Caenorhabditis elegans: one gene and its partners. The protein of the gene in region 3 purifies or fractionates together with the protein of the main gene of each other region. This does not show direct contact. Each region holds a gene or a part of one and is shown on either strand. Other genes may lie near its edges.

Region 1 (7,034 bases), on a different chromosome or scaffold from region 3:
CTAACTCAAATTTTGAATTTTGAGGGGTACGGTAGCCCCAAGAGTACGCAAACACCGAGGCTTGCGTACTACTGGCATCGAATTTTACGACAGTTAGTCCAAATTGGCTGAGAACCGGGTTCCCGAGGTAAAAAGTGATGGAGAAGTCGAATTTTGCAGTGAAAATCTGTGAAATTAGCCGGAAAATGCTGAAAATCCAATGTTTTTCCGGGAAAAATAAAAATTTGGGCATAGCTTCCGCATCTCCGAGTGACAAATGTGCTCTATTGTCAAATTGTTGGCAGAAATACGATATTTATTCAAATTTTCAGCCCAATTTATGACTGAAAATGTGAATAAATACAGTTTTTATGCCAGAAATCTGCGTAGGAGCACAAAAGTCACTCTGAAAGAGAATGTTCATGTAATTTTGGGATATAAAATTTCCTTTTTATTTTTTTTTCAAATCTAGAAGATTTAATAGTGAGGATTGCTGAGGAGAGTGCAAATTTTCAAATAAATATTTTTTTTGGCGAAAAAACATTTTTTTTTCTCTTCGAATTCAAACTTTTCACAATTTGCAGAGCTTCCGGATAATTTCCACCCAAAAAATTCAAATTTCCCACTTAAAACCCGCCAAAATTTCTCACCTTAAACAACGGAACCACCTTCCAAACACTAATCGCAGCCGACGAGGAGAACTGTCCAAGTACCATTTCCATAAAGAACATTGGTAGTGAGGCGAGGCATAACATACATAAATATGGTACAAGGAATGCTGCACCGCCATGTTGGAATACTAGAAATGGGAATTTCCAGAAACTTCCTGCAAAGGAAGAGAAAATTGTAAAAAAATTAAAAATTTTCCAAAAAAAAAAATTTCTTTTCAAGATTTTCCAGAAATTTTCGCGATTTTTCACTGGGAAATTCAAATTTTTCGTTAAAATCTTACAAAAAAAAATTCCTAATTGAAAAAATTTGAATTTCGAGGGGGGTACGGTAGCTTCGAAAGTACGCAAACACCGAATTTTGCGAAATTTCGCACAATTTGGCTGAAAAAACAGTCACCGGGGTGAAAATTTGCGGGGAATTTGAATTTTCGCATGAAAATGCTGGAAAAATATATTGAAAGTTGGAAATTTTAATTTTTTGTTGATAAAAACGTTTTTTTTTCGAACTTTCCAGGAAATTTCAGGAATTTTCACATTGAAGTTCGAATTCTCCGGTTTATTTTGCCGCTATTGGACTTTTTTCCCAAAAGCCAGTTTGAAATTTGAATTTCGAGGAGTACGGTAGCCCCAAAAGTACGCAAACACCTGCTAGGCACCGAACCTTACGACAATTAGTCCAAATTGGCTGAAAATCGGGTTACGGGGGTGAAAATTGATGGAGAAGCCGAATTTCGTAATGAAAAACTGTGAAAATCACTGGAAAAAAAAAAATGAAAAACACGAGTTTTCGGGAAAATAGAAAATTTGGGCATAGCTTCCGCATCTCCGAGTGACAAATGTGCTCTATTGTCAAATTGTTGGCAGAAATACGGTATTTATTCACATTTTCAGCCAATTTAAGGCTGAAAATGTGAATAAATACAGTTTTTATGTCATCAATACGAGTAGAAGCACATAAGTCACGAAAATATCGATTTTTAGAAGATTTTAGGGATTTAAACCGAAATTTTTGTGATTTTCCAGTTAAAAATGTTTTTATTTTCATTATTTGAACCAAAAACTCCAAAAAAAAAATCGATAAACATGGCTAGGAACCATCATTTTCAGATTGGTGGCCTAGAACCCCCGAAAGTTAGGCCATCAATCTATTTTGTTCGAAAAAAAACCAATTTAGGGTAAAAATGAGTGGAAAACTCAATTTCCAACTGAAAATTTGAAAAAAATTACTAGAAATGTGAGATTTTCGCTTTTCAAATCATTTAGACCCAATAAATGACAATTTAAACTTTTTTTTCCAAAATTTTGGTGTTGAAATTCGTTTTTAGAAGAAAAAACTATAAAAAATCAATAGAAAAGTTAATTTTTTTGGAAAAAATAAAGCAAGTGCGCTCTATTGAGAAATTACTGAAAATTCGATTTTTTCACTGATTTTGTCTGGTTTCAACGTGAAAAATGCGTTGAAAAATTGAAATTTCGAGTTTTTTTTGCAGAAAAATCGATATTTTATCCATTTTTCCACTGAAAATCCCAAAAATATCCAATGTTTCACCAAAAAAAAATCCCCCAAAACAAGAGATGTTAGAACTTTAGAACACACACACTCTCTTATCAATTTATAATCTTATCAATTTCTCGCACGTACTCATTTCGTATGGTCAGATTATTATCTGCTGATATCGTGGACTTTGGCCCCTGTTTTCGCCGAAAAATCGTAAAAATTCCGGATTTCTGGCCTAAAAATTAGGGAAAATTATTGGTTTTTTCCATGAAAAAGCAGTTAAAAATTGCTATTTTCATCAATTTGATGCGAAAAAACTTCAAAAAGCCCCCAGAAAATCAACGTTTTTACAAGAAAAACAACGACACTCCGCTAGTACACCAACGCGTGTTGTTTAGCGGTTTGGCGGGAATTCAAATTTCTCGCTTTCTTACCAACTCCCGCTGTGAAACCAATTACTGCTAGCAGATAATCCGACTTGTTACTCCAATTTCCTGAAAAAATTTTTTTTTTCACAAAAATTTTTTTTGTTGGTATTTTAGCATTTTTCAATAAAAATTTTGGTTTTTATGGATTTTTTCACACAAATTCGTGTTTTTCACGTCTCCAGCTTCAAAATGACCCCCATCATGCCCTGTTTCCGTGCAATTTGAAAAATTCGGGTCTCGCCACGCGGGGTACTGTAGCACCGGTTTCAGCTGTGTCGAAACTACAAAAGCTCAAAATCAACGTATTCTGGTCATGTTGGGGGTCATTCAAAAGCTGCTGACGTGGCGAATTCAATGAAAACAGTTTGGTGGCCGAGTTTTGGATTTGAAGGCCACCAAATCGAAAAACGTGGATTTTTGTCGCACCTCGTATCCTATTTTCGTCTCCGACACCCGTAATCTCTTCGAATGGATATTCGATGTCACCTTCTCGTGTGTAATCGGGCAATTTTGCGTCGAGCTTGAAAAATTTCAGGGTTTTTTTTGCGAAAAAATCAGTTTTTTCCCTAAAAACTCAAAATTCTCGCTGAAATCTTTAACAAAATGGCGGGAATTGGTCGTTTCCCGCCGTAGATCAAACGGAAATTTGAATTCCCGCCGACCGCGTGGAGCAAGTGCGCTCCAGCGGACTAGTGGCGGGGAATTTGATTTTATTTATTTTTTCGGCAATTTTTCAGCAAATTCAATGATTTTATTGGTTTTAGGACAAAAATTAGTGGAAATTTTCATCAAATTTTGTGGTTTTTTTGGAATTTTTCACAAAAAATCGATAATCATCCAAATTTTTCGGGAAAAACGTCAAAATTATCCGTTTTTCTCGAATTTTCCGAATTTTTCCACAAACCTGCTTAATAAACGGAGGATATAGGCTCATATCCACGTTGTTTCCGCTTGCCATGCCCCGTCCATTCCTCTGCTCCGGATCGTTGCTCGAAACCGACATTTTCGGTGTGGAAAAACTCGGTTTTTCTTGGAAAAATCGATTTTTCGTCGGTTTAAAACCTGAAAATTAGCAATTTTCACGATTTTTTGAGCTATTTAGCAAGAGATTGCGAAGAAAAATACGAATTTTAGAGTAAAAACGAAAGAGAAACGAGGCGACGCGGCGGCCCGTTGTTACACAAATTTCGGAAGCAGTTGGCTCGCCCGAATTGAAAACATACGTGAAAAGCCGGGGAAAACGAATGAAAAAGTGAGAAATTGTGGGAAAATGTGGGAAAAATTAGTTTATTTCAGGAAAAAATTGGCTATAAATCGGTTTTAATGAGTTTTTAGCTGAAAATCAATAATTTTCGGGTCAAATTTTAGATTTTTGGGGTCAAAATGCTGCAACTCACTTCCAGAATTCAATTTTAATTATAAAAATCGAAAATTTTAATGAAAAATTTACGTTTTTCACGAAAAACCGCTCTGGAAAATAAAAATGTTCCAGGTTGCCAATGCAAACGCGCTCCATTGAGAAATCGCTTGTTGGCGGGTGTTTGAAATGGAAATTCTGATGAAATAAATTAAATTGGGTTTGGAAGCATCTTTGTTGGTTGAATAAAGCATTTATTATGAAAGAAATAAGATTTAAACAAAAAAAAACCATTTTTACAGAGAAAATACCAGAAAACACCGGAAATTGTTAGTTTTTTTTTGAATTTTTCAGGAGAATACCAACATTTTAAAACTAATACCGGTGCAAACCGAAAATCCACTAGAAAAACTCTAAAAATCACGAAGACTCCAAAAATCACAGTTTTTCTTGAAATCAAGTTTTTCTCGAAAAATCTATATTTCTCTGGGGAGTAATTTGTGTAGTTTTTGGTGTCAAAATGCGGCTAAAAACATTTTCTGTTTGTTTTTCGCATTTTCAATTGTAAAAAATCCCTTAAAAATGGTGAAAATTAGGATTTTCCAAAGTTATTAAAAATTGACTCTGCAATTGCGCTCCATTGCTACGCATGAGAGAGCAGAGACGCAGAGTACGAATCATGCAATTTCAGGTTATTTTTTGATTTTTTACAGGAAAAAATTGTTTTCACAATTTTTTCTCAATTTTTTTTCAAATTCCAGTTAAAAAATATGAATTTTCGTCGATTTCTGCACACAACATATCGAATTTCCACTCCAGGTACCCGAAAACCCCATTATTTACTCAGTTTTCCGCGCGGAAATCGCAATTCTTTTCAGAATTTCGCCAACAATTCGAACTTCCCGCGCAATATGACTATCGGCAGTGGTTTCCAATGCATATGTCCGTACAATTGAAAAAAATGGAAGCGAAATTGCGATCCGTCGACTTGATAATTGAGGTTTTGCATGGAAAATGGAACTTTTACGATTTTTTTTTTGGAAAATCTGTAAAATCACCGGAAAAACGCTGAAAAACCGAAAAACTGGTGTAAAAAACTGGTGTAAGAATTTTAGTGAATTTTTCCGCCTATAAAAGTTGAAAAATCGGGAAATATTGCAAAAATCGACATTTTTTCCAGGTCCACGACGCCAGAATCCCGATTACCGGCCGAAATCAGCAGTTTTTTCGACATTTATACGCTATTCGACCGCATATTCTCGTCCTGAACAAGTGTGACTTGATAGATATGAAGAAATACAAGTGAGAACCCGGAAAAATTCGAAAAAATCCGGAAAAAACGCTTGAAAAATCAAGATTTTCAGAATTTCTCCGAAAAATTTTGGATTTTTTCGACGAAATTCGGCTTTTTCTCAACGAATTTAGTCAAAAATTGCGATTTTCCGACAAAAATCCACTTTAATCACCTAAAAATTTGAATTCCCGCCGACCGCGCAGTGCAAGTGCGCTCCAGTGGACTAGTGGCGGGAAATTCGAATTTTTGGCTATTTTAGCGCGATTTTTTGCACTTTTTTAACGATTTCTGGGTGAAATTCGACCGGATTTTTATAAAAAATGAAGAAAAATCGATTCTTTTTACCTTTTTTTCGGAAAAAACGCTGTAAAATCCGAAATTTTCTCAAAAATTCCCCATTTTCAGGCACCAAATCGAGGATTATTACTACGAGCGGGGCGTTCAAAAAGTTTTATTCACAGACTGCAAAAAACGGCTTCCAAGGTGATTTTGGAGCTGAAAAATTCAGAAAAATGCATAAAAATTCTGAAAAATGCATAAAAATTCAGAAAAATGCATAAAAATTCTGAAAAATGCATAAAAATTCAGAAAAATGCATAAAAATTCTGAAAAAATCTGAAAAAAGCATAAAAATGCATAAAAATTCAGAAAAATACATAAAAATTCAGAAAAATACATAAAAATTCAGAAAAATACATAAAAATTCAGAAAAATACATAAAAATTCAGAAAAATGCATAAAAATTCAGAAAAATACATAAAAATTCAGAAAAATGCATAAAAATTCAGAAAAATGCATAAAAATTCTGAAAAATTCTGAAAAATGCATAAAAATTCAGAAAAATGCATAAAAATTCTGAAAAATTCTGAAAAATGCAGAAAATTGCTGGAAAATGCCGAAATTTCCCTACTAAACTGCAAATTTCAAGAGCTCTGAACGATGTGAAGCTGTCAATGTTAGACGCTTTGGAGAATACGCCACGTTTCAATCGAACCGTCAAAACAGAATATCAGGCAATGGTCGTCGGAATCCCGAATGTCGGAAAATCATCCCTAATCAACGCGATTCGAACACATACGCTCGGAATTAAGCGTAAAGCTGTGAGAAAATCGCTTCAAGACCCGAAAATTCGAATCGCCCACGTCTCCAGCTTTCAAATGACCCCCAACATGCCCTGGTTCCGCGCATTTTGAAAATTTTTGGGTCTCGCCACGCGGGTTACTGTAGCACCGGTTTCATCTGTGTCGAAAACTTCCAAAGTTCAAAATCAACGGAACCTGGGCATGTTGGGGCTCATTTTGAAGCTGGTGACGTCAGTAATTCAATGAGGAGAAGTTGGTGGCCGAGTTTTGGTTTTCTAGGCCACCAACTTTGAAAACATGGATTTTTACTTAAAAAATCGTTTTTTTCGGTTTTTTTTTGCAATTATTCGAACTTTAACCTAAATTTCAAATTTTGCACTGAAAATTCGTCTAAAAACCCCTTAAAATTGACAAAAATCGTCTGAAAATTCAAAGTCCCGCCGACCACATGTTGCAAGTGCGCTCCAGTGCGAAAAGTGTCATTTTTCTACTGAAAATCTTAAATTTTCACTAAAAATCCTAATTTTTCAATAAAAGTCTCAAAATTACACAAAAATTCCTAATTTTCACTAAAAATTTCAAATTTTCACTAAACATCTCAAAATTTCACTAAAAATCTCAAAATTTCACTAAAAATCTCAAAATTTCACTAAACATCTCAAAATTTCACTAAAAATCTCAAAATTTCACTAAAAATCTCAAAATTTCACTAAACATCTCAAAAT
Region 2 (7,025 bases), on a different chromosome or scaffold from region 3:
TGTGGACCACATGGTTTTGAGAGAATATCCTGAAAATATAATGATGATTAAGATTTTGGAATACCTATGGTTGCAATATTGTCAACAATGTTTATTTCTGTAAAGCTAAATTTCTGAGGCATTACATAGCCAGTTTCCTATTTGGTTTGGTCTCTAGTACACGTGCCAATTTTATCATTTGGAAATAAGACGGCGCAATAATTTTGTGTTGCAATTTTTGTAGAAAAAACTTCTCAAAAAATGAGCTATGCGTGCGCGGGGTTAGATTCTTCTGAAAATGTCAATTCTAGTCAATTCTACAAATATTAAGCTAGTTTTGAAACTTTGACAATTATAAAAAAATTAATTATGGAATGTTTTATTTCCATCCTTTTTAGAGTATTAAGGTCGATTTCTTAGATTAAAGTCATACTGAAGCTTTACCTTTATCATTTTTATGATTCTCCGCATATCAACAAAACGCGCGGATTGACTTTCGTCAACTTACGAAATCTAAAATCTTTCTCCCTCACCTCTTCCTCCTCCCCAACCATCTCGTTGTTTCCCGTTGCTTCGATACTCTGCTTCTTAATATTCTCTGCAGCTAACTTTTTCTGTTGTTCCTGCTCTCGTTGTTGTTGCAACCAGGTGTTGGGTTCGTAGCTTTCTGGAGGTTGAGATTGATTATTACTTCGTTTGGTTGGTGGTGCACTTGGTGTTGACACGTCTTCATGACGACGGACATGCGACACTGGGAGACTAGATGACGATGGGACTGACGCCATCTGTAAATTTAAATGGGTTCAAGTTAGGGCTTGAAGTGAAAAAATCAATAACGAAAAGCGTTGTCGGGGGAAATTAGAGGAGTGTCGGGGATTTCAAAATGAAAGTTTTATTGCGAAACACGCCATGTAAACTCGAACACTCAAGCGACCTATATTTTTGCGGAGTGAAGTGTAAAAATTGTGAAACAATGATTTTTTTATTGTTTATGGTCACTACTTTGTTTTCTTTTGGAGGTTTTCGGATTCACTATAACTTTAGGAAATTCGATATTTTAGAAAATATTAGGAATTTTGAATTTATCAACAAAAAAATCAACTCAATCAATGAAGATTAAATAGAAGAATTTCCCATAGTTTTGGCAATTACTAACAATATCTATTTACATTTGAACTGTTAGTAATTGTTCTCTCGCAATTTTTGTAACGCGTACTTAAAGACACATGGATATTTTTGAATTGGGTCTCAAAGAGTCAGATTTAAATGTTATTCGTTTTTGTCTATTTTTGTGAAATTTTCAAAATATTTTTTCATTAATTGTGGAATGGAGGGATCATAAAAAATTCTCAGAACTTTTTCTGATGGCGAGACCCATAAGAGGAATTATGCAAAAAAGGTGCAAAACTACCATGAAATTATGTAAAAGATTCGGGTGCTCAATCAATTGTAATTAATAAAATCGGTGAAATACTTGTGAGCTCAGTTAAATTGAGATGAGCACTACAGTTTGTTTTATATTTTCTTGTTTATTTACTGAGTAGCGTCTCTTTGAATTTCGTAAAAAAGTGTACAGTGTTTGTTCGAATATGAGCAATATTTAGGTTCAAACAAAGTTAATTATAAAGGGTAAATAATATATTTCATTTCAATTTTAAATTATCAGAAAATTCGTCTTTTGTTCAGCGCTCCACTATTATGAAGTTTACCAAAAACAAAATATCTCACCTGTTATTATAATAAAGTTGTAGACTAGACGTTCCTGTATTGATTGATTTTGAGTATATGTTATGATAAAAATACTGGAGAAAACTGAAAAAAGACGGAAGTATAATTATCAGTGACCAAGGAAATTGGAAGAAACAGTGAGGTCAATCAGATATGAGTCAGCAGCGATTGAGACGCAGTGAAAAATGGGAAACGAGAGGAAGACATACAAAGGGCGAAGGTCGAATTTTTTATTTGGTTGATGGAAAATATTATTGTAGATAAATATTTTAAAATATCTACAAATTATTCATCTCCTTTTCGGTTGATCTTTGTGGATACAGAATTTTGAAATTAAAAAAAAACAATATAAATCTGGTTAACATCATAAAACAATGTCTATATTTGACTATTTTCTCTCCTTCTTGATCTTCCTGATCCTTTGCTTCGATTGGAGTTAGTTCGATGTAAAGGTCCCATTGATTTGGATCTTTTTTGACTTGAAGCTTCACTTGATTGTCTTCTACTTGCAACTGACGGCTGCCTTGATCCTAACCGATTTTCCATTATTGAATTCGTGTCAAGGAATCCAGATTGATATCTTCCAACGCTTGTAGCTCTTAGGGTATTATATGGACTTGCTACAAAAATGTTATTCGGAGATCGTCTATGAAGGGAAAGTGTGGAACATCCAGGAATTCTGAAATTATAGATTTACAGAATCTTGTTCCGGTTTGAATGAAGTTCTTACACTGGTGGATACAGTTTCTTTTCATCGTGTGGCTTAACTACATTAGACATTGCGTGTCGATTCTCAAGAACTGGGTACGCAGGTGGAGGTAGAGGTTGATATGGATCTTTCTCAAAGATCGGAGGTAGCGGCTGTAAACGTGTAACAACTAAAATGGGTACATTTTGATTTTGAATTGATACGCATTATTACCTACATTCTTCGTTCTAGTGAACTGTATCTAAGCCTTGTAAGGTTTCAAACACATTGCTGTTTCGGTTAATTTGGCAATTTACCAAAACTATGCCATTTTCAGAAATCTAAAATGTTTTAATAGTTTTTTTTAAATTATGGTACGATCATTTTGAGTTTGTTTAGACGTTAATTTGTTAGCTTTAATTGTTTATATTACTTTCATGAAATTTTCAAAGGTGTAGTCGCAACTTTTACAAGGACATGTGGGTTTCTAATTGAATTTGAATTTTCAATTAATCAAAAAGACTTACCACATAATGTGTTGTAATAGTCGTAAGCCTAGCAGGATCATTGTGCTTCTTTGTGTGGTGTAACGAGAGATCACAGAGCTTTGTTGTGCATAAAAAGTAGATTAATGAAATTATCAAAAACGAACATCCGAGTCCAAATAAAATAGGACCCGCAATTTGAATTGGTGGTGGTCGTATTCTTTGTTCGTATGGCCAAGTCCAGAATGGTGAAGTATAAAGGTATTTATATCCAAGAAGTGACATTAGTAGTCCTCCAATTAGGAGAAAAACGCCGAATGCTGTACAACAAATCAATGATGACGAGCCACGAAATTTTCTTTAAAAAATAATGCTTTTTTCAGGGTTTTTTTTTAAATTTTTGATAAAGTAACTTGATGTATATTTTCTGCGTCTCTGTTGAATTTTCGCGTTGAATATGATGTATTAGGACATACTCCATTAAATTATAATCTACGAGTTATTTAGTTGAGCTATTCAACCCTCATATTTCCAGCTTACAGTTTCAATTATCAAAAAACTAACGATGTTCTATATGGAAAAAATCCAAATGTTGCTGGATACAATATATCCCATCCTTTTGGATAATAATAGAAATATGGATCACGTTGAGCCATTGGTCCAAAATGAAGAACTCTTTGATTTCCAGTCCATTGTTGAGGATCAATCTCACTTGCACCAGCTTGAACCATTTCGTCTTTCTTATCCTTTGCAGTTACGTGAAGCTTGTCTTTAATATTTCGAAAATATTTATGAGTTTTTAGAATCAAATTGACATGAAAACCCCTTATATTTAATACAACAACTCTATATTCTGTGCTACATTCAGTACATCGTGGTGAGACCCATAAAGTCAATTTAAATTACTACTTCTCAGTATTGCTTTGATGGTTATAATTACTGTAGCTGGTATCGATTTATGGGCCGCTTGTACCATATTCTTTGAATTTTATTTTAATTGTAATTTTTAAAAATTTTGTAAGATGTCCGAAGATTTTCAACGACCTGTTAATCGATACCATATTACAGTAATTCGTCTTCGTGGCAAGACCTTTGTGTGTAAAATATAGGAAAAATCATCATCTTTAGACGTCTACGTAATATCCTTTTTTTAAAGCAAATTTCCACACAAAAACCCACTCTGAGCTCTCCGCTTCCGCTTTTGATGTGGTCGTTCAGCTTTGGATCCGAAGAATAAATGTGTGCGGACGCGCTCTTGATTCGACGGTGCCGCGCCGCGTCCTCTTTTACTTCCCATCTGAAACCAATCAGGTCCGGAAGAAGGAAAGGCTAAACTTTTCGGCACGACTCGATTGGACCTTGATTACAACTCTTTGAGCTCGTGCCGCAGAGCAGTATCAAACAGCCACATCTTTTCTCTCAATTTATTTTTCTAAATAGTTTGGTGTGTCAACTGGAGTGTTGGTTGTGGCAACAGATGTTTTCGTGGATTTCCTCATCGTGTGGATCATCTTTTATCAAACACTTACCATCTTGAATAATTATTTGAATAAGAAAATCTAGAACTGAATATAAATTGTATTATTGAGCAGGAATAAAAATAAAAGCTGGACGACTTTCTGTATTTTTCATCCGATTCACAGCTGGTGGCGGATATCTTGTCGCCGAGTGTTGTGCGGGCAAAACGGCCTCTAGTACCCGTACCCGCGTCATTATTTTGAAATTGAGATGCTGCTGTCAACGATTATTACAAACGAGAAGGAATCTCTCGTCTGAGCACACGGAAAAGTCTCTATGCATGTTCGCCCTATTGACAACGATGCGGAGGGCGACGCGTGCCGAAAATTTCTCTGTGTCTCTTCATACAGACAGTCCGCCCGTTGAGTTTGTCCCAATTTTAGCCTTTTTTCAGCTTTTAATTCTTTAAAATTCCAAATTTCGGCAAAATTCATCAATTTGAAAACGTTTTATTCAGTTGTTCATTGCCTTGATCTGTTAATTTAGCCGTTCTCATATTTTAAAAATTGTTTTATTTTTTTCAAAAACTTAAAAATATTTAAAATAATTATTTTAGGCATCAACTGGGGCAATGGCTTCTCTTGCTAGATCTGGAGGTTTTGCAGTCAAAGTGGTAAGTATTTTTTGAACAAATATGAAGAAAAACACTCCAATAATCTATTCAATTCGAGAAATAATCATATTTTGCGAGAAACGCGTTCGAAAATTTTGTTTAAAATGTATTTGTTTAAACTATTCTCGTTCCAAAACACTGGACGGTGTCGAAATGATTAAGATATCGATTACAGTTCTAAAATTTTGTCCAATAGTTTATAAATAGTTTTCTTTCAGATCAGCGGATCCCAGCAACATGTAAACTTTGTTGCCGCAACACCAGCCGCCGATAATGTAAGTATTTAAAGTTGCAGAATATTATTTTATTGTCTAGTATCCAGGTCGCTGCTTTCCGCGATGTTCCAGCTGAGTTCTCCACGGCTGAAGCTCGTCAAGCCGCTGTTAGTCACAGCACCGGAGGTGTCTTCACCAATGGACTTGCTGTCAAGGGAATCAATGGTATTTGAAATTGAATTTAATATATTAATTCATTAATTTTTAAGTCACCTCTCGCCGTTTGGCTCACACTGATGTGACATTCCCCGATATGTCAAACTATCGTCGTGATTCTACAAAGAACACTCAAGTGCCAGCCCGTGACACCGAGGATCAACGTCGTGCTCTTCCAACTGCTCTGTATTATGGAGGTTCGAATTATTTTTTATTCGGTCTAAACATTGTTTTATTACAGCTGGAGGAGTTCTATCTTTGTGGGCCGGAAAGGAAGTTGTACAGACTCTTGTTTCTTACAAAGTATGTTGAATTTCCATTACACCGTTTTTAAATTAATTTTTCCAGGCTATGGCAGCTGATCAACGTGCCTTGGCTTCGATCGAAATCAACATGGCTGATATTCCAGAAGGAAAAACAAAGACATTCGAATGGCGTGGAAAGCCAGTCTTCGTCAAACATCGTACCAAGGCTGAGATTGCCAAGGAAAAGGCCGTCCCTGTCGCCGATCTCCGTCATCCACAACATGACGACGAACGTGTGCAGAAAGATGAATGGTCCGTTGTCATTGGAGTGTGCACCCATCTTGGATGTGTCCCAATTGGTATGCAGTCTTTTTTCTCCTGAATTTTTGAAATCATATTTTGAATTTTCAGCCGATGCTGGAGATTACGGAGGTTATTACTGCCCTTGTCACGGATCTCACTACGACGCTTCTGGACGTATTAGAAAGGTAAGACATTTATTTGCTAAATGTAGTACAATCTGAAAAATTCAAATTTTATAATTTTTTTTCATAATTTATTGAAGAAAAGTTCGCGATTTGATATAATTAATGATAAATTGTAATTTTCTCTTAAAATTTTATAAAAAGAGAGATAATTTAAACAAAAACAAGAAGATATCTTCTGGAACGAACGAAAGTTCAGTCCTATCCTAACCGTTATTACGGTAAATTTTGGTATTTCTTAGTAAAGCTTTTGATAATTTTAAATAAATACCTAGTTTTTACAGTTTCTTTTTTTTTATTAAAAAAAACGGAATAAAAGAGTAGTAAATAAGTTCGCTTTTTTTGATGAAAATCAGTTTTTTTCCGAACGTAGGAAAAGTAATTAGACAATTCTTTTTTGAATTCCTAATTATTTACGTGAAAATCTTTATCATAAATTAAGCTCTCAGAATGTTGAAAATTTAAAAAAAGTTAAAACTTCAATAGCGGAAAAAAGTGTTTATATTTCTAAATTTGACATTAAAAATGTTTTCAAGTCACCCTAACGTTGATAAAATTCACAAAAATGTAAAGGTGATCTTTTTTTCAAAATCTTCATTTTTTCCAGGGACCAGCTCCATTGAATCTTCACGTACCAGCATACTCGTTCAAGGATGCCACCATCGTCATTGGATCGAGCTAAATATTCAGATTTTTTTGCAAAAGTTTCCCCGTCCCCACTTTGAAAACTCGCGTCTCCTAATCGAATGTGTGGTTTTCTCCTGTGAAAGTAGTTGTTCCCTTCTTTCTACGTCGTATTCTTGGCAGATAAAGTTTATTTTTCGTCCTATTTAGTGTTTGCCTGTTTTTATTA
Region 3 (8,322 bases):
TCTTTTTTCGCTTCTTCTTTAGTTTCCTGCTCCTGAGTTATCAACTTTTCAAACTTCTCGAGTCCTAATCGATGTATACAAAATGGATTATCGCGACAATTCGATGACCTGAATCGATAAAAACAAAATTAATTATAGTTTGTTTAATAAAAATGCTTACTTTGAACTATGCATATCGTGTAGAAGACACTTTTGACAATCTAATTTGGCAACTTCCATTGCTTTCGAAAATGTGACTTGGTCCTCATCTGTATTTACTAATGCATTTATTGCTTCATTTCGAAATGCAACTTTTCTTTGATTCGGACGTTCTTTTGGCTTTTTGTCAGTCTCCTTTGTCATTTTCTGAAATTGAAAATCTTTTTAGACATTCCTTTATTAAAGGAAGTGTTCTCGTTAAGAATAAAAATAAAAGCAGACTTTGAAAACATGACAACGCGAAAATATTATTTTACTTTTTATTCAAATTTTAAACTGAATTCTTGCACTTTTTCTTGGCGTTAAGATTTAAAAGTTCGTGTATGAATTATTCCACATCGTCAATAATCAATAGTCCGCGGAGAAAAGAAACGGGGCAATAAAATAAAAACATAAATAGCTGACAGAAATTTGAATATGCGATGCACATTGAATGCAATTTCTTGAAATGCTGGTTTGTGCGTCAGATTAAATGCATTGACTGGTGCATACACGGAGCACCAACTCTGCGGACTTTTTCGCAAAAATTTTTTCTGATATTTTGAGACCCGAAGAACTCTGGGGATGTCCAATTGGGGGGATTACCAACTCGGGGGATTGGCCCCGCCCACAGAACCGTGGCTTGCAATACGCCCATTTCTGCAACTGCCGCACGGTTTCGAAACTGTATTTTTCTCAATAGAGCGAGAATTAACAAGAAAAATACAGTTTCAAAACCGTGCGGCAGTTGCAGAAATGGGCGTATTGCAAGCCACGGTTCTGTGGGCGGGGCCAATCCCCCGAGTTGGTAATCCCCCCAATTGGACATCCCCCGAGTTCTTCGGGTCTCGATATTTTGTTCGAGATTCTTATTTTAAAGATTTTCTTCGTTTTTTCCAAATTTCTTCGATAATATATGTGCTAATTTACAAATATATGTTCTAATTTACAGAAAATGGGTAAACGCTTGAAGTCCAACGCCAGAAAAAGCGCTGTAAACAAGCTTGTCAAAAAGACAGACAACAGAATGTAAGGATAACGATAATTTTATCGAATAACCTTGATTTAAAACGCAATATTTCAGAAAAGAAGAACAAAGAGTCATTAGAACACCGAAAGTAGATGAACAAGAACTCAAATTGGTCCGTGCGTAAGTTTTATTCGTACGAATATGTGTCCAGACAATAATAATTCATAATTTCAGTCCAAAAATCTCATCCGCTATGTTTATGAAATACAATACACAGCTGGGTCCACCATTTCACGTTATTGTCGATACCAATTTTGTGAATTTCGCCGTCAAAAATCGCATTGACATGTTTCAAGGATTCATGGATTGTCTGTTCGCGAAAAGTGAGTCATACACTTTCTTTCGTTTTCTTGTATTTTATCACAATAATTCAGCTATTGTGTACGCAACTGACTGTGTATTGGCTGAATTGGAAAAAGTGAGAAGATTCAAAATTGCTCTGAAAGTTCTGAAAGATCCACGTGTGCAGAGACTGAAGTGTGAGCACAAAGGAACATATGCTGATGATTGTTTGGTTCAAAGAGTTACACAGGTTCGTTTATTCATAATTTTTCATTGTTTTTCATTTAATAAAATCTAACAAATCTTAAACGAATAAAATCTATTATGACGAGAAGAGGCAGGAGACGGAATGTGGTATTGCTGCAGTCTTTTTGTTTGGCAAACTTGAACAAATAACGAATCTGAAAATGAAAAAAATAATATAATTTTCAGCATAAATGCTATATTGTGGCCACTTGTGATCGTGATCTGAAGCGCCGCATCCGAAAGATCCCAGGAGTTCCGATCATGTACATTGTCAATCACAGATTCTCCATTGAGCGAATGCCTGATGCATATGGAGCTCCAATGAACTAACCTTTTGATGCTTCACGCGTACAATCCTAATCGATACACCTTGGTGGCGAGAAATGAATGAAGAATGAACACGACTGGCTTTGCGGAATTTAGCAAATCCAATTCCTAAATTTTTCATTCATTTATGCTTCTTTTGTTTTGAATATTACTTGTTGATCTGCTTTTATTGTTTTGTTGCCTATCCTTTTTTTTATTCAAAAACTTTACACAAAAAAAATCCGTTTTTTTTCTATAAGTATGAAATTAAGGTTAAAATAAAATCCATTTTTACCTGTTCACCATGTGGTGGTCCAAAATCGACCCAGAGAAAACGACCACCATCATCGCCGGTGGCGCGAATCGTTTCAAACGAATGTTGCCACAGTACCTGAATTGTAAGCTTTAAGAAAATGTAGCTTCTCTAAATGTTATAAATCTTTGTTTTAATCTAGAAAACGTTTATCACTTTCTTATTGCTAAATTATTCCAATGAGCTCACCTCTCCAGTCGACGAAAGTAATGATATTCCATTGTCTAGATTAACTATTAGTTCGCATGATTCGCCTCGCCAAAGACAAGGAGCAGAGACTTGAGATGTAGAAAGACATGCTTCATATCCACCGATCACTACTGCACGAACCCATCGTGCCAGTTCTGCATGAGTTTCTACCCGGATCGTATGTGTCCGAACACCTTGTTGAGTTCCAGTTCTCATACGGAAAGAGATCACATCAGTGAGACCTTTAATTACTGGCGCAGTTCGAGAACTTGTCTGAACGACTCTTGTTGCCACCAGAGGACGTACTAGTCTTGGCTCTGCCCATTCTGCTTTCAGCTGTGGAACAGCTTCATAGAACAAGATCTCACTATTCGTAAGCGTCATAAATTTAGGTTTCCACATTGAAATTCCATTTTCTGATACTTGTTCTGCAATCCAACCCATATGTCTCACTTGGGGGTTGTTACCGAGCATTATATTGACTTGAGCCAGTGCCTGAGTCAGAAGACACGTGGTACAGGCATGTAAAGCTTCAAACCATCCATCTGCTTCTTCACTACTTGAACATCTCATTGCTAGGGAATACCTTCCTGATGGACTTCTCATTTCTAGAATTCTACCTTCTGCATCTGCATCTATTCCAGCTCTTGCCACATATGCAAGCTTTAAACCAATTGTTCTAACTCGTTCCCGAATATCATCATCCCATTCAACATTTTCCACAATATTTTCCCGATGCATCATATCCTCTCTTCTATACTGTACTTGCAAGTCAACAACCCGTCCAGCTCGTTTCAATGCTCTTACAGCTTCTTCGTGTGAAGCATCGAGAAGGTTTTCTCCATTCACAGAGATAATGACGTCATCAAGAAATAGTTCTCCAGCCTGATCCGCTGCCATTCCTTTGAAGATTTTGCTACAATCGAAATTAATTTTGTTCTTTAATTGCTAAATTAAACATTCTATTTCAGAAAAAAAAGTGTCGATTTACGTATCGTGTGTACTGCCCGAGGAGAAGTGTACATTTTTGCAAACAATTTCACAGTTATCGCCTTAAATTCCTAATTTTGGATAATTCGGGAAATACTTTCTGTTTTTGACCGAAAACTGTAAAATCTTCTGAAAAAATTAAATGCTTCTCCACGGGGAGTACACACGCTGAGTAAATCGACACACGATTGTGTACGAGGTTTGCTAGTCCATTCTTCCATTTTTCAGTTATTATAAAAATTTTCTCTAGAGAATTGCCCTTGTCATTAAAACTAAAAATTATTTATCATAGATCAAAATTTCAAAATTGACGTAAAATCACGAAATGGCACACGAGATGTATAAATCTCCGCAAGTTCATTCATACCTGATCACAATAGGCATGTTGTTGTCTCTGCCTCCCTTAATTGAAATTCCTAATCCATTTCCATCATATTTCACAACTCGAACTGTCCGTTTCTCTGCTTCAGCCTCATTCTGCTCCATTGTCTGAAAAATAGTATATTTATTCATCACAGCTTGAACCCATTTCTCTTTGGATTTCACTTCCCTTGCTCATAAATATCCCCTTCCACGTTTCCCGACCAAATTTTAAACAATTTCAAACAAATTCACACATGCTAATGTAATTTTTGGAGGAGACTGAGTAAAATGAAATCATGCAAGCTGGCATACCAATTTGTCAAAAGCCGGAGCTTCGATTGACGGAATACTTGGAGAAGGGGGAGTAGATGACATGACGACTTCTTTTTTGACAAGCAATGGTATATTTTCTTTGTCTTTTCCCAAAATTTCAGTTGGACTGTCATACCAGAGATGAGAAAGATAAGAAAGCAAAAGAGTTATACACATTTTAATACTTGAGAATATATGTCGGAACGAAGAGTTCATATAGACTCCAAGAAGATAATTATTGTAGTCACAGTATACCTTTCTCCATCCGTTTTCTCCTTTTAAGTCGTATCATATACAAACTTCATCTCTAAGTAGCCTCATTCCATTCTTTCTTTTTTCTTCTAGCAAGAACGACTAATAAGTTTTCATAGCCAACTCGCCTCCTTTTTTGAAAAATGAGCCAAAATGTGGCGAAAGGAAAAGAAGAAGAAGAAGCATAGACTATTTGTAATATGATCCCATTCCCGTTTCTGGTTTCCATAGATGGATCTCTTCAGATGATATATTTCGTTCGTGGGCATCAGAAAACTTATGTTCGACGTAATTTCGTAAAAAAATAAATGTTTTATGACGCCAGAATACGGTGCCTGGTCTCGACACGACTGAAAACTTACAAAAAGATTAAAGGATTAAAGGTGTGAAAAATGTGTGTGCGCCTTTAAAACCTACAGTAATCTCCAGACCCAATCTCCAGCAGCTGCTTTTTCTAAAACGAAACAGTCTGCGAAATAGTGAGGATTAGAGCCTACTGTACTTCATAAAGGCGCACATTCTTTTCCGACAAATTTATTTATAACTGCTCGATACGAGGTTCTGGCTCGACCCCGCGCTCCATCGGACGCTGAAATGGCGGGAAAATTTTTTTGAAATCGCAAGAGGAATTTTCACGCAGCGCGTTGAAAAAGTGTATGCATTTGCGCGTGACGGTGTTTGCACAAAATACACCGAGGGGTCGAGCCAGAAACCCGTGCTCGATCGTGTTGAGACACGGTACCGTATTCTTTTGTCTTGAATAGCAAAATTTCGCATTTTGGTATTAATAAGAACGACCACTATTTTTCAGCAACTTGTATCATTCCACATTAGAAAAATGAATGATATTTTATTATACCGAAATTTAAATTATTTAACAATAATTGTTTCAAATATAGATTTTTGTTCGTTTTTAGAAACCATCCAATTTATTTTTAGAATTTCGCGAAAAATGAGTTGTTTTACAATAATTTCCAGTGGTTTTCTAGTTTTCGGAATATTTTATCATTAAAAAATTACTTGTAATGTGATAGCAGTTGGATCGAGAGTAGCCAATACACGATGCCATTGTCCCTGAACAAAAATGTCGACCAGGCCGGATCGAACGGCGGCCATCGAAACGACGCCGATCTAATCGGAGCAATACTACGAAATTGAGCCGATTGTACTCTGTAAAGTTGAATATTGCATATACCAATTTATGCCAAAAATTTGAATTCAAATTCGGGAGGATTTGTAGCGGAATGAAGGAAAGCGAGAAAAAAAACCAGAAGAGAAAGATGCTAAGAAGCAAAGAAACAGAAAGAAAAGGGGCAATAATAGAATATTTGGGCTGTGGGAGCAGCAGAGGAGTCCTCTCTCTTCTATTTCCCCTCGTTTTTCTTCTTCTCTCAACTGCTCTCTTCTCCGTCGGATGAAGCCGGAGAGCTAGTGCGACGGCACTCCTGCTCCCTCTTCTGCCTAACATGCTCTCTGATGAACTCTACCGCGCACTCCGAGTCTCGCTTCTTTCTCTACATCTCACTCTTTCTTTTTCCATCTGACTCTCAGCTTGGTGCCTCGAATTTATATCGGTTATGATTGTGTGTTGGGCGAAGAATCCCGTTGGCTTCCCGCCACGAGACGAACACTTACACACTACGTGACGAACACATGCAATTGTATTGTTGAAGAGAGAAGAAGCAAGTTGATCCTTTATTCTTTTCTTTATTTTCTTTCTCATTTGGTTGTAGTTGTAGTTTTCTGTGTCGTACGATATATTACAACCAATTGCAATTACTACATTAATCAGAAGTATTCCCTTTTACAACTTTTTTTATACAGTGAAAGTTAAATATTATCCAATTTAATTCCTATTTTCGAAATAAATTGAAATTACTATTAGGTGTTCTGTTTTTCGTGATGAAATTTAATTTTCAATTGCTGCTCTAGATACTTTAGCTCTCTAACTACAGTACCCCAGCAGAAATGCAATCTTTAAAAATCTATAGAAAATCCATCTGAAAATCCATCAATGTTTTTTCTTCCAAAAGCTATTCTATTCTGTGTCAAACAATTCTGAAAAACTTGAGAAAAAATTGAATAATTTTAGAATCTTGTTCCTTGATCTTTCTTCAAACATTTAGATCATTGACCGTATCTGATTTCTTTTTCCCTCCCTCCCCTCCACCAGTTATTGTTTCTCAATTTTTTGACGTTGAGCTTTGTTGTGTATTGAGCGAGAGACAAGGAGAGAAGTAGTTTATTACAAGAAAGTGTAAGAAGTAATGAATTATAAAGAGAGGTCGCTTACGCGATAAGTTCATGATGACCCAAAGGTCACGTCTGTATAAAGTTCAGGTTTACGTTCCGTCCACAACATCTCCCCTCTTATATGACAAAAAGCCAGAAATTATGCCTGGGCTAGGGGCATCACGACCAGAGGCGGTATATCGACCTCTGCGGCGAGTGGAGGCATGATCAGTGTTTGGGGCTGATCCTCGCACAACTTGTCGTGGGTGACTCTGTCGAAGAGAATGACACAGGAGGATGCCGGGTTGGAAACGCTCGCCGTCACTCGCAACATCGGATTCCAGCAGGGGGTCCAGATGGGTTTCTTTGATTGGCGAACTTCCAGAAGTATATGATTGGCGACTCTTTGCCACACGGCGACGTCTTCTGTGGCTTTTCTTCAACGAACTCTTGCTCTCCGTAACATGAATCGTAGTTATATTTGCACAAGTAGCATTTCGAGCATTGCCGGCAACCGACGAGACGACTTCACGAGCAGATCGAGAACCAACAGAATCACAAGCTGACAAATCTGGAGCACTAAAACCAAAAACAGAAGAATCTGAAACTAAAACTGGATTAGCTTCCCTCCCCTCCCCACGGACACCTTGAGCGACAAATTTTTGGCGGCAACTAGAGCGCGGAATGTTTTCCAAGAGCGACAATTTACACGGATTTTCGATGAATGATGAAGCATAGTCATTCCCACGGCTCCGGCGACCGCAAATGTGACGGAGTTGGTTCGTGTGAATTCTTTGAATTCTCGATCCCAACTGTACTTCATAGAGTACTCCGTTCAATTGTCTTTGAACCACTCCATAAATCCAGCCAAAATTGTGCTCTCCTTGAACCCGAGCAAGGCACAATTGCCCAATCTGAAACGCTTTATTGCGCGCAAATCTTACATACTGGCGCTTACTACTACGCGGCGCAGATGCAACAACATGTCTTTCAACATTTTCAGCACGATCTTTGTATCCAGTAGGAATCCTTGAGAACGAGTGCATATTTTGCTTCGAGTTATCCACAGTGGATATATGATTAACCATTACGGCCAGAGCATCACGCATTTGAGGCGAGTGGCGCATCCAACTGGTGCCTAACAGATTATTGTTTCTGTTCCAGACGTACACATACTCAGTGTATTCGACACCTTTGACTTTGAACCATACGAGCACTCTACCTTTGACAGCGATTTCAGTACCATTGGCACAGCAAATTTTGTGGTGGACCTTTTCGAGATGCGGTTTCCCGATCTTTTGCCAGTTCTGGACACTGATAAGGGTGATGTCACTGCCTGTATCAAAAGTGAAATCGATCTGTTGTCCTTCCACGTTCAACCGAAGACTAGGCGATGTCTGTCTTCCAGACCCAACCTCGAGCGTATTCACTTCAGAATGCTCAGTCTTACGATTGGTCACACCTGAATTGGTGGAACTCTGAGGACAGTCTTTTGAAACGTGCCCGACTACTTTACACTTGTAACAATACGGAGATCTGTAGTTTCCTTTTCTCGAATCCTTCTTCTTGTCATCTGCATCAACTTGGTTTACTTCGAATTTCGGATGTCTGGCGGGAGTTGCTGTGATGA

The links.
Region 1: the proteins of stn-1 (region 3) and snf-6 purify together in Caenorhabditis elegans (affinity purification with western blotting, with the first as the bait; one study listed by BioGRID). This does not show direct contact.
Region 2: the proteins of stn-1 (region 3) and islo-1 purify together in Caenorhabditis elegans (affinity purification with western blotting; one study listed by BioGRID). This does not show direct contact.

The regions. Positions count from the first base shown.
Region 1 is NC_003281.10:1,529,190-1,536,223, forward strand, and holds the start of snf-6 (Sodium-dependent acetylcholine transporter), read right to left. Parts: upstream 3,639-7,034; 5' UTR 3,580-3,638; coding exon 3,481-3,579; intron 3,097-3,480; coding exon 3,003-3,096; intron 2,643-3,002; coding exon 2,583-2,642; intron 806-2,582; coding exon 630-805; intron 1-629. Other genes in the region: mtg-1 (CP-type G domain-containing protein), read left to right, coding at 4,704-4,752, 4,812-4,933, 5,114-5,235, 5,633-5,710, 6,156-6,327. UniProt on the Caenorhabditis elegans protein: Mediates sodium-dependent uptake of acetylcholine at neuromuscular junctions during periods of increased synaptic activity, may also prevent spillover to adjacent synaptic sites.
Region 2 is NC_003282.8:8,133,985-8,141,009, reverse strand, and holds islo-1 (Interactor with SLO-1), read right to left. Parts: upstream 4,622-7,025; 5' UTR 4,413-4,621; coding exon 4,410-4,412; intron 4,178-4,409; coding exon 4,060-4,177; intron 3,650-4,059; coding exon 3,445-3,649; intron 3,239-3,444; coding exon 2,923-3,238; intron 2,569-2,922; coding exon 2,438-2,568; intron 2,387-2,437; coding exon 2,086-2,386; 3' UTR 1,918-2,085; downstream 1-1,917. Other genes in the region: Mitogen-activated protein kinase pmk-3, read right to left, coding at 1-29, 513-764; isp-1 (Cytochrome b-c1 complex subunit Rieske, mitochondrial), read left to right, coding at 4,970-5,011, 5,230-5,286, 5,334-5,451, 5,496-5,639, 5,684-5,745, 5,791-6,046, 6,099-6,175, 6,780-6,854.
Region 3 is NC_003279.8:9,498,576-9,506,897, reverse strand, and holds stn-1 (Syntrophin-1), read right to left. Parts: upstream 5,631-8,322; 5' UTR 5,577-5,630; coding exon 5,481-5,576; intron 4,023-5,480; coding exon 3,901-4,022; intron 3,460-3,900; coding exon 2,544-3,459; intron 2,496-2,543; exon of another isoform or gene 2,433-2,495; coding exon 2,337-2,432; exon of another isoform or gene 2,171-2,336; coding exon 2,078-2,170; 3' UTR 2,067-2,077; exon of another isoform or gene 2,066-2,066; coding exon of another isoform or gene 1,922-2,065; intron 1,891-1,921; 3' UTR 1,740-1,890; downstream 1-1,739. Other genes in the region: Ubiquitin carboxyl-terminal hydrolase usp-48, read right to left, coding at 1-108, 161-342; F30A10.9 (PIN domain-containing protein), read left to right, coding at 1,133-1,206, 1,262-1,327, 1,382-1,530, 1,582-1,739, 1,922-2,065. UniProt on the Caenorhabditis elegans protein: Adapter protein that binds to and probably organizes the subcellular localization of a variety of membrane proteins. May link various receptors to the actin cytoskeleton and the dystrophin glycoprotein complex (DGC).